Linked DNA regions of Diceros bicornis minor. The protein of the gene in region 1 purifies or fractionates together with the protein of each later gene. This does not show direct contact. Links are inferred from orthologs where the notes say so. Each region holds a gene or a part of one and is shown in the gene's direction. Other genes may lie near its edges.

Region 1 (5,939 bases):
CACTCAAACTAAAGGGAGTTAGTGCTTCAAACTATGCTGTGTCTTATCCTCTCCAATATCAATTGCTGGCTAAGAAATTTACATTTGCAGGTAATAGAAGGTGTAAAACCAGGCCTCGTGGGAAGGGGCGACTAGTACTTTTTTTAAAGGTTTGGGTACATTAGCCATTCTGAGAGTTACCACCCACAAAGGCTGTGTGCTCAGGGCTTTACCTTTCTAGGATTTCTACAGCCTGGTAGCTCACAGATTTCTCCAGACACCATTGTTCAGACAGGAGAAAAACAAACTCTGCCAAAACAGGAAAGAATAGCCTAATTCACAAGGTGCAACCAAAACCACTCTGTGAACTCTTGGCATTGTGTAAAAGCCATGGTGGGGCCAAGGGAAGAGGGTCAGGAGGTGAGAAAGATGAGACTGAAACAACTCAAGCTGAGCTTAGTTCCCTATGCTGCCAATAGGCAGATCAGAGGTATGAAAAGGAGGCTGACAGAGTGCCAAAGACAAGGGCTTACCAAGGCCCCTCAGTGATCCTTGAGCCTTCCTGTGGGTCTCAGCTGATAAAAGGTTTGGCCAGCTACACACAAACATACCAGCTGGTCTAGTTGGCCTCTACACCATGCTGGGAACCCCCAGCTTCAAGGGAGATTCTTGGATGGATAAAAACCCTAACCCCTATATTCTGTTTTCAGTGGAATGTTGACAGGAACAGAAAGGTCCCTCCTGGAGCTTCAATATTCTTTATAACACTGTTTGTTTAGTAACCACCCTCTGGAGAACTCCCATTGCTTTACAAACACCATTCGCCTTACAGCTGGACACCATCTCTCCAACCCCCGTTTGTTGGGTAAATCTTTGGCGGCTGAGCCTCTCCCCAGGAGCAAGTTTGGTACTGTGGAGTGGCTTGTTTTGAAGAAGCATCCGCTAAATCAGGGAACATAGCCCACTTTGGGGAGGGGAGGGTCATTGGGAAGATACCTTGGCAAGATTTGGGCTGCCTGTTTCTCTTTGAAAGAACAGCCCCAGATAGTATTCTATTTAGTTTGCAATATCATTAGAGGGTGGAAACAAGAGTAAATGTTAGTTCTTAACAAAGAAAGCTCCTACAGAACTAGGAACTTTTAGCTCTGATAAGCAAAGAATTACACAGTCAGATTACCATATGTCTTCAGAGAAAATTTGACTTACGAAAAAAGAAAATTATAAAAGTCAAGTTAGCACAAGACACTTTAACAATCTACTCGACACGTTACACATGGATAAATGTACAAAACCTTATCATTACAGACATTAAAGCTCTGCTAGCAGTGTCCAGTGCAGAAGAGAATTAGTTAAGCAATTAAGCAAAATACCCTAGAACACATAATTGTGTGTTATCAGCCAGTCCTTTTATTTGCTGGAGTTTAGCCCTTATTTCTTTGTCTTGTTTTTTTATGTGCATGTAGTTGTTTGGTTTTGTTTTGGTTTTTGTCTGAATTATCCGGGCAGTTGTTTCTATTTTCCATTTTAATTTGCCAAGAAAACTGAGCTTGAATTAGGGGGAATGGATGAGGGTTACACGTCTCCCTCAGTGCTGGCTCCACCTCCTGCACTTATAAACATACTCAGATCTGCTATTAACTGAAAGGCCCCCCTTCTATCGTCTTAAGCTAGGGCTCTATCTCACTAGTTTCCATCACTGTTAAATTTCTTGAAAGCCTTGCTTACACCTGCTGCTTATACTTCATCATTCACCCCCTAATGTTCTGCAATTTGACTTCTAGTTTTCCCAACTTGCTGAAATGATTATCTCAAAGGTCAGCAAATATATCCAAATTGTTCAATTTCATGGCCCTTTTGCAATCCTCATTCCCGTTGTTCATATCGCCGAAGCGTCTGAAACTGCTGACCATCATCCTTCTTGAAACTCTCCTCTTGGCTTCCAAAGGTCCCTTGATTCTGTTCCTATCTCCCCAACCACTCCTTTTATTTCCTTCATGGCTCTTCTTCCTAATCCAATTCCCTGAACACAAAATGTTTCCCAAGGAACTGTCCTTGACCTGCTTCTCTCTTCTCTCTCTAGGAGCTCATCCTCTGCCACAGTTTCAACAGTATCCTTATGGAGATAACTCCCAAACCTTTATCTCTAGTTCTGACCTCTCTTCTGACAGTTGTTAAACAGCCCAAAGAAACCTTCCTTTAGGGCCGGCCCCGTGGCTTAGTGGTTAAGTGCGCGCGCTCCGCTACTGGTGGCCCAGGTTCGGATCCCGGGCACGCACCGACGCACCGCTTCTCTGGCCATGCTGAGGCCGCGTCCCACATACGGCAACTAGAAGGATGTGCAACTGTGACATACAGCTATCTACTGGGGCTTTGGGGAAAAAAACGAGGAGGATTGGGAATAGATGTTAGCTCAAGGGGTGATCTTCCTCACAAAAAAAAAAAAAAGCGGCGGGGGGGGGGGTTAATGAAGCCTTCCTCTAGATGTTCTACAAGCACCTGAAACTGAGTTGATCCAAAACCAAAGCTATGGTCTTTCTCAAACAAAAGTCACATTTCCTCCTGTTTTATTTTTTTAATGTACATGTAGGGGCCGCCCGGTGGCGTAGCGGTAAAGTTCACGCACTCAGCTTCTGCGGCCCAGGGTTTGCCGGTTTGGAGCCTGGGCACGGACCTACTTGCCGCTCATCAAGCCATGCTCTGGCGGTATCCCATATACAAAATGGAGGAAGATTGGCACAGATGTTAGCTCAGGGACACTCTCCCTCACCAAAAAAAAAAAAAAAAAGAATGTGTATGTTTCTCTTAATGGCACCACTATACTCCCAGTCTCCTAGGATCGACCCTTTGGCATAGTAATCTTTGCCTTCTTCACTTCTTAAATTCATCCATTGCAGAACCCTAGACTTCACCTCTGAAATGTTTCTAATCCATCCTCCCTTGTCATTCTCTCTGCCCTATCACCTAAACTACTAATACTGACTCCACTGGTCTACCTACCTCCCCTCTCTCTCTACTCCAATCCATCCTTTACCTCACAGCCAAAATAATTTTTTCTAAGGAAAAGGTTATAGTCATATCACTCCCATATTTAAAAACCTTCAATGCCTTCTTGTTTTCCTACTAAGCCAAGTATAGCATTCAGAGTTCCACATGGAGTGTCTCCAAACTACCTCTCTAGTCTTAATTTCCACTATTCCACATGCTCTGGCCAACCTGCGGCATTGTACTCACCGTATTGGACTTCCTATCGTACTTCCCTATTTCCATGGCTTTACTCATGCTATCCCCTTCTGGTAGAAACGCTATCCCCCTTCTGCACCTTCTCCAACCAAAATGTCATCCTTCCTTCAAAGCCTACCTCAAAAGCCATGAGGCCTGGAGGACTCCTTTAATTCTTCTTGCCCCCACCTCACTCCATCACTCCTCTCAATCCAGATAAAAGCTTTTTCAGGTAAAAGCTTGTTTTATCTGGTATGTCAGGTATCTAACCATACTTGTACCTATTCACTTGCAGATTTGTCCTAATATCCTCCAAAGATCATACATGGTTTGAGAGCAGGGACTAGATCTCTATTTCATCTTTCTATCTCAGGCAGTGTGGATAACAGGTATGCATGCTGAAATCAAGGGCAGGGTGCTGGGGTGTCTTGTTCATCACTATATCCCCAGCACCTGGAACAGAGTAGGGACTAACAAGACTTATTTGAATGAATAAAGTAAACTGAATGTCAAGGCCGGCGCCTCAAAGACAGATGCCCAGACTCCCATAACCCCGGCTCCCTGCCCTGCATCCACACCCACGATCCGGGTCTCCCTGAAGCTGCCCGTCCAGCCGGCAGCCTCCCGCACCGCTTGCTCATTCTGCTGGGCCAAGTGGAGCAGAGCGTCTTCGATCGTCTCGGTGGTCACGGCTCCAAACTGAAAGTCACCGAGGGAGGCCAATCTTGGTCCGTCCATTTTCAGAAGCCTTTTCGGGCACCCGGATAGCTCACTGGATCTTAAACTGACCCCCTTAGTTTCTCTCTAGAGTCTTCTGCCACACGCTGGATTCCTCGTCCCCGTCTGTGTGCTTGTCCTCGCCTCAAGTCTGAGGAAAACCCAATTCCCACCACAGCCTCGAGCCCTCAACAGCCTTTTCCCGCCCCAACGGCCGCGGACCCCTCAGCCAATCAGAAAGCACGGCCTCTACCCGTCTCCCCCGCCCTTTCCCTAAGCGCGGAGAGCCGCACTCTGTCGGTAAAAGAAAGGCGAACTACAACTCCCAGCTTTCCCTGCGGCAGCCAAGGACTGCTTCCCAGCAGTCCTCGCGTCCTGGGACTGGGAAGGGTGGAGCGGCAACATGGCGGCGTCGGGACCTGGTGGCCCTCTCGATGCTAAGAGTGGAGAGGCCCCTCCGGCTCGGCGCATCGACCCGACTCGGGAGAAGCTGACTCCCGCGCAACTGCAATTCATGCGGCAGGTGCAGCTCGCCCAGTGGCAGAAGACGCTGCCACAGCGGCGGACCCGGAACATCATCACCGGCTTGGGCATCGGGGCCCTGGTGTTAGCTATTTGTATCCGTCCGCACTGTAGACTCAGGGAGACCGCAAATGGGGGCAGGGGAAGGGGAGCTGAAGCATGGAGGAGGGCGGTGTGGGGGTGGCAGAGAGAACCTGAGCTGTGAAAGTCTTGGCTACTTCTAACGTAGAGCCAAGCGTTTAATGTGCCTTACTTTGTCATTTTAAGGTGCTCTTTTAGTATAATTTGTTAATAATAACAGAGTCGGGGTCAGGGCTCAGAAGAGCAGAGGGCAGGAGGTCGAATCACTCATTTGGGAGGATGAGAGATTAACAAGGGCGGTGGAGCAAATCTAGGAAAAGGGAATGTGCATACATATTTTAAGTGGCTTCCTGAACCCACCTCCCCAGATGGTTACACCTTCTACTCGGTGTCCCAGGAGCGTTTTCTAGATGAGCTGGAGGATGAGGTCAAAGCTGCTCGAGCCCGGGCTCTGGAAAGGACATCAGGACCCTAATCCAGATGGACATCGCACATCTCCAACCTGCTGGAGCCCCTTCATGTGATGGATGTTGCTCCTTGACCCTGTAGAAATGGAAGCCTTCTGATAGCATCGCTGCCCTAACTAACGTTGGATGATGACTGAGCCCAAGAAGCCAGGGATTTATGCATTTGGCCATCGTCAAGAGAACATTGCCCACCTCACACTCACTGTGTGTGGCGACTGAGCCCTTCTTGTAGTTCCTTTCCTTGTTTGAGAGGTATCTGACCTTAGCTTTTCCCAGGTTTTCTGACTTTGTGGTTTATCCCTTTCACCTACCAGGGACTGGGAGGATGGAGGATCAGAGGTGGGCTGTTAATGGGGGATAGGTGTGGCAGCTCTGTGCAGTGTTGGAGCCTAAAGTGGGAAGAATGGGGTCAGGTTGAGAATAAAAACTGAGTCATCTCTCTTGGAGTCAAATGAGTGTGTTGGGGCTGACACTTCATACTGGAAAGCTCCGTAAGCAGTAGCTGCAGCAGTGGTATTGCCCCAGGTAGCCGTAAATGTTTAACCAGAATTACTTTTTCCATGAGATCTTTCCACCTGATTTAAGGGCAACATCATGGTGGGTCACTGGACTGTTTGCAACTGAACCATGTTTTGGGGGAAGGAAGGTCACTCTTCTGTCCTCTACCCTCAAGAGCAACACACTACTCCAACTTTACTGCCTTTTCCCATCCCGAGACAGAGAGAGAGAGGCAGATGAAGGGTGATGGACAAGCAGCTTTTTTTAACTTCCACAGAGGCCTGTTTGTGTAGGCCAAAGGTGGGGTCTGGATGGGATCTTAGCTTGGTCAAGTGGATCATTAACCTTGCAGTTTCCTCATGAACTGCTGGCAGGACGCCAGAAGTCTGGGCAGCTTCTACCCGTGCCTGCCATTGTGAGGGGAGAGTCCCTTCTAAATCCTCCCGCCTTACCCCA
Region 2 (6,422 bases), on another chromosome or scaffold:
AACAAGGTAAGCGTACTGGAAAGTGCGCTTGGACAATCAAAGTGTAGCTTAAACAAAGCACCTAGCTTACACCCAGGAGATTTCACACAAAATGACCACTTTGAACCAAAGCTAGCCCAAACAGACCCCAATCCAACTATTACAAACCTACCTAAACAAAACATTTACCCAAACCTATTAAAGTATAGGAGATAGAAATTTTTAACTGGCGCTATAGAGAAAGTACCGCAAGGGAACGATGAAAGAAGTCTTAAAAGTACTAAACAGCAAAGCTTACCCCTTTTACCTTTTGCATAATGATTTAACTAGAACAGTTTTAGCAAAGAGAACTTAAGTTAAACTTCCCGAAACCAGACGAGCTACCTACGAACAGCCCCAAAACGAACGAACTCATCTATGTCGCAAAATAGTGAGAAGATTTATAGGTAGAGGTGAAAAGCCTATCGAGCCTGGTGATAGCTGGTTGTCCAAAACAGAATGTAAGTTCAAATCTAAATTTACCTAAAAGCCCCACAACTCCAATGTAAATTTAAATTATACTCTAAAGGGGTACAGCTCTTTAGACACAGGCTACAACCTTCATTAGAGAGTAAGATCTAGATCACACATAGTTGGCCTAAAAGCAGCCACCAATTAAGAAAGCGTCCAAGCTCAACAGCACAGCTACCTTAATCTCAACAACAACTAACTAACTCCTAATTTAATATTGGACTAATCTATCAACAAATAGAAGCAATAATGTTAATATGAGTAACAAGAATTATTTCTCCTCGCATAAGCCTATATCAGAACGAATAATCACTGATAGTTAACAACAAAATAGATATAATCTAACAATAAATCATCTATTAAACTAACTGTTAACCCAACACAGGCATGCACTTTAAAGGAAAGATTAAAAAAAGTAAAAGGAACTCGGCAAACACAAACCCCGCCTGTTTACCAAAAACATCACCTCCAGCATATCTAGTATTAGAGGCACTGCCTGCCCAGTGACATCTGTTTCAACGGCCGCGGTATCCTAACCGTGCAAAGGTAGCGTAATCACTTGTTCCCTAAATAGGGACCTGTATGAATGGCCACACGAGGGTTTTACTGTCTCTTACTTTCAATCAGTGAAATTGACCTTCCCGTGAAGAGGCGGGAATGACACAATAAGACGAGAAGACCCTATGGAGCTTTAATTAGCTAATTCACAAAAATAAAATCTCTAACCTACATCCAAGGGATAACAAAACTTTGACTGAATCAGCAATTTCGGTTGGGGTGACCTCGGAGAACAAATCAACCTCCGAGTGATTAAATTCCAGACTTACCAGTCAAAAATATCACATCACTTATTGATCCAAACTATTGATCAACGGAACAAGTTACCCTAGGGATAACAGCGCAATCCTATTCTAGAGTCCATATCGACAATAGGGTTTACGACCTCGATGTTGGATCAGGACACCCCAATGGTGCAACCGCTATTAATGGTTCGTTTGTTCAACGATTAAAGTCCTACGTGATCTGAGTTCAGACCGGAGTAATCCAGGTCGGTTTCTATCTATTCAATACTTCTCCCAGTACGAAAGGAAAAGAGAAATAAGGCCCACTTCACAAAAGCGCCTTCAAACCAATAGATGATATAATCTCAATCTAATTAATTTATACATAACATTGCCCTAGACCAGGGCCACGTTAGGATGGCAGAGCCCGGCAATTGCATAAAACTTAAACCTTTATAACCAGAGGTTCAACTCCTCTTCCTAACAACATGTTCACAATTAACATTCTCCTCCTAGTCATCCCAATCCTACTCGCCGTAGCATTCCTTACACTAGTTGAACGGAAAGTACTAGGCTACATACAACTTCGAAAAGGACCAAACATTGTAGGCCCCTATGGCCTACTCCAACCAATTGCCGACGCAATCAAACTATTCACTAAAGAACCACTACAACCATCAACATCATCAACAACCATATTTATCATTGCCCCAATCTTAGCTCTAACCCTAGCCCTAACAATATGAATTCCATTACCAATACCATATCCCCTAATCAACATAAACCTAGGAATCCTGTTCATACTTGCCATATCAAGCCTAGCCGTCTACTCCATCCTATGATCAGGATGGGCTTCAAACTCAAAATATGCACTAATTGGAGCCCTACGAGCAGTAGCCCAAACAATCTCATACGAAGTAACTCTAGCAATTATCCTTCTCTCCGTACTACTAATAAATGGGTCATTTACACTATCCACACTAATCACCACCCAAGAACACCTATGACTAATCTTCCCATCATGACCACTAACCATAATATGATTTATCTCAACACTAGCAGAAACCAACCGAGCTCCCTTCGACCTAACAGAAGGAGAATCAGAATTAGTATCTGGCTTCAATGTCGAATACGCAGCCGGCCCATTCGCCCTATTTTTCATAGCAGAGTACGCAAACATTATTATAATAAACGCTTTCACTACCATCCTATTTCTAGGAGCATTCCACAACCCCTACATATCAGAACTATACACAATCAACTTCACTACTAAAACCCTACTACTAACCACATCCTTTCTATGAATCCGAGCATCCTATCCACGATTCCGATACGATCAACTCATACACCTTCTGTGAAAAAATTTCCTACCCCTCACTCTAGCACTATGCATATGACATGTATCACTACCAATCACAACATCAAGCATCCCCCCACAAACATAAGAAATATGTCTGACAAAAGAATTACTTTGATAGAGTAAACAATAGAGGTTCAAGTCCTCTTATTTCTAAAACGATAGGAATTGAACCTACTCTTAAGAACTCAAAAATCTCCGTGCTACCAAAATACACCACATTCTACAAGTAAGGTCAGCTAAACAAGCTATCGGGCCCATACCCCGAAAATGTTGGATTATACCCTTCCCGTACTAATAAACCCAATTGTTTTCTCAACCATCTTGACAACCGCCATCCTAGGGACTATAATTGTAATAACAAGCTCACACTGATTAATAATCTGAATCGGCTTCGAAATAAACCTATTAGCCATCATCCCCATCCTAATAAAAAATTTTAACCCACGAGCCATAGAAGCAGCAACCAAATACTTCCTAACACAAACCACCGCATCAATACTCCTCATAATAGCAATCATCATCAACCTTATATTCTCAGGCCAATGGACAATCACAAAAATCTTCAATCCAACAGCATCTATCATTATAACATCAGCTCTCGTCATAAAACTCGGACTTTCCCCATTCCACTTCTGAGTACCCGAAGTTACCCAAGGCATTTCACTAATATCTGGCCTAATCCTGCTCACATGACAAAAACTAGCACCAATATCAGTCCTATACCAAATTGCACCTTCCATTAACCCAAATATACTAATGGCTACGGCCCTCCTTTCTATCCTAGTAGGAGGGTGAGGAGGCCTCAACCAAACTCAACTACGAAAAATCATAGCATACTCATCAATTGCCCATATAGGATGAATAACAGCTATTCTAATATATAACCCAACAATAACAATACTCAACATGCTAATCTACATCATAATAACACTCACTACATTCATATTATTTATACTCAACTCCTCAACCACAATACTATCACTCTCCCTCACATGAAACAAAACACCCCTAATTACCTCGCTCATCCTAATCACCATACTATCACTAGGAGGTCTACCACCACTATCCGGGTTCATCCCCAAATGAATAATCATTCAAGAACTAACAAAAAATGACAGCATCATCCTACCAACATCCATAGCCATTATAGCCCTACTCAACCTATACTTCTATATACGCCTAACCTACTCCACCTCACTAACAATATTCCCATCAATAAACAACATAAAAATAAAATGACAATTTGAAAACTCAAAACGAATAAATTTCCTACCTACACTAATCATCATATCAACCTTGCTCCTCCCACTAACACCAATCATATCCATTCTGAACTAGGAATTTAGGTTACACCAGACCAAGAGCCTTCAAAGCCCTAAGCAAGTATAAATCACTTAATTCCTGCCAACTAAGGGCTGCAAGACTCTATCTTACATCAACTGAATGCAAATCAAACACTTTAATTAAGCTAAACCCTCCCTAGATTGGTGGGCCACTATCCCACGAAATTTTAGTTAACAGCTAAATACCCTAATCAACTGGCTTCAATCTACTTCTCCCGCCGCTCAGGAAAAAGGCGGGAGAAGCCCCGGCAGAATTGAAGCTGCTTCTCTGAATTTGCAATTCAACATGAAATTCACCACAGGGCCTGGCAAAAAGAGGGCTACAACCTCTGTCTTTAGATTTACAGTCTAATGCTATCTCAGCCATTTTACCTATGTTCATCAACCGCTGACTATTTTCAACCAACCACAAAGACATTGGCACTCTTTACCTATTATTTGGCGCTTGAGCTGGAATAGTGGGAACCGCCCTAAGCCTTCTAATTCGCGCTGAACTGGGTCAACCTGGAACCTTACTAGGAGACGACCAAATCTATAACGTAATTGTAACCGCTCATGCGTTCGTAATAATTTTCTTTATAGTTATGCCCATCATAATCGGAGGATTCGGAAACTGGCTAGTCCCCTTAATAATTGGGGCACCCGACATAGCATTCCCGCGAATAAACAATATAAGTTTCTGACTTCTCCCACCATCATTTCTTCTTCTACTCGCATCCTCGATAGTCGAAGCCGGTGCCGGGACAGGCTGAACTGTTTATCCGCCCTTAGCTGGAAATCTAGCCCACGCAGGAGCCTCTGTTGACCTAACCATCTTCTCCCTACACCTAGCCGGAGTATCCTCAATTCTAGGTGCCATTAATTTTATTACCACAATTATTAATATAAAACCACCAGCCATATCCCAATATCAAACGCCCCTATTCGTGTGATCCGTTTTAATTACAGCTGTACTCCTATTACTAGCACTTCCAGTCTTAGCAGCAGGAATTACCATGCTACTAACAGACCGTAACCTGAACACTACTTTCTTCGACCCAGCAGGGGGAGGCGACCCAATCTTATACCAACACCTCTTTTGATTTTTCGGCCACCCTGAAGTCTATATTCTAATCCTACCAGGCTTTGGAATAATCTCACATATTGTTACATATTACTCAGGAAAAAAAGAACCTTTCGGCTATATAGGAATAGTCTGAGCTATAATATCTATCGGATTCCTAGGATTCATTGTATGAGCCCACCACATATTTACTGTTGGCATGGACGTTGACACACGAGCATACTTCACATCCGCCACTATAATCATCGCTATTCCCACTGGCGTAAAAGTATTCAGCTGATTAGCTACCCTTCATGGAGGAAACATCAAATGATCACCAGCTATACTATGGGCCCTAGGCTTTATTTTCTTATTCACAGTGGGAGGCTTAACAGGGATTGTTTTAGCCAACTCATCATTAGATATCGTACTTCACGACACATACTACGTAGTAGCACATTTCCACTATGTTTTATCTATAGGAGCAGTTTTTGCTATCATAGGAGGGTTCGTCCACTGATTCCCCCTATTCTCAGGATACACACTCAACCAAACCTGAGCAAAAATCCACTTCATAATTATATTCGTAGGAGTGAATATAACCTTCTTTCCACAGCACTTCCTTGGTCTCTCAGGGATGCCACGTCGCTACTCAGACTACCCAGATGCATACACAACATGAAACACTATCTCCTCTATAGGGTCCTTCATCTCGCTTACAGCAGTAATACTTATAGTCTTTATAATTTGAGAAGCATTCGCATCTAAACGAGAGGTATCAACAGTAGAACTAACCACCTCTAACCTTGAATGGCTACACGGATGCCCTCCCCCATATCATACATTCGAAGAGCCTGTCTACGTAAACCTAAAATAAGAAAGGAAGGAATTGAACCCCCTCTAACTGGTTTCAAGCCAATATCATAACCTCTATGTCTTTCTCTCTCCCAATAAATGAGATATTAGTAAAAATTACATAACTTTGTCAAAGTTAAGTTATAGATTAAGCCTCTATATATCTCTATGGCCTACCCGCTCCAACTAGGATTTCAAGACGCAACATCCCCTATCATAGAAGAACTACTTCACTTTCACGACCACACATTAATGATTGTATTCCTAATTAGTTCTTTAGTATTATACATTATTTCACTCATGCTAACAACTAAACTAACACACACAAGCACTATAGACGCACAAGAAGTAGAGACTATTTGAACCATCCTACCGGCTATTATCCTAATCCTAATTGCCCTCCCATCGCTACGAATCCTCTATATAATAGATGAGATCAATAACCCCTCCCTAACCGTTAAAACTATAGGGCATCAATGATACTGAAGTTATGAATACACAGACTACGAAGACCTAACCTTTGACTCCTACATAATCCCTACATCAGACCT

What was found. Proteins that work in one complex are often made in the same cells at the same time.
Region 2: the proteins of cytochrome c oxidase assembly factor 3 homolog, mitochondrial (region 1) and COX1 purify together in Homo sapiens (affinity purification with western blotting; 3 studies listed by BioGRID and IntAct, with this or other methods). This does not show direct contact. The link is inferred for Diceros bicornis minor from reciprocal best matches to the Homo sapiens genes COA3 and COX1.

Annotation. Positions count from the first base shown.
Region 1 is NC_080757.1:41,815,072-41,821,010, reverse strand, and holds cytochrome c oxidase assembly factor 3 homolog, mitochondrial, read left to right. Parts: upstream 1-4,294; 5' UTR 4,295-4,318; coding exon 4,319-4,532; intron 4,533-4,886; coding exon 4,887-4,993; 3' UTR 4,994-5,431; downstream 5,432-5,939. Other genes in the region: CNTD1 (cyclin N-terminal domain-containing protein 1), read right to left, coding at 213-288, 3,777-3,936. UniProt on the Homo sapiens protein: Core component of the MITRAC (mitochondrial translation regulation assembly intermediate of cytochrome c oxidase complex) complex, that regulates cytochrome c oxidase assembly.
Region 2 is NC_012682.1:1,003-7,424, forward strand, and holds COX1 (cytochrome c oxidase subunit I), read left to right. Parts: upstream 1-4,348; coding exon 4,349-5,893; downstream 5,894-6,422. Other genes in the region: COX2 (cytochrome c oxidase subunit II), read left to right, coding at 6,040-6,422. UniProt on the Homo sapiens protein: Component of the cytochrome c oxidase, the last enzyme in the mitochondrial electron transport chain which drives oxidative phosphorylation.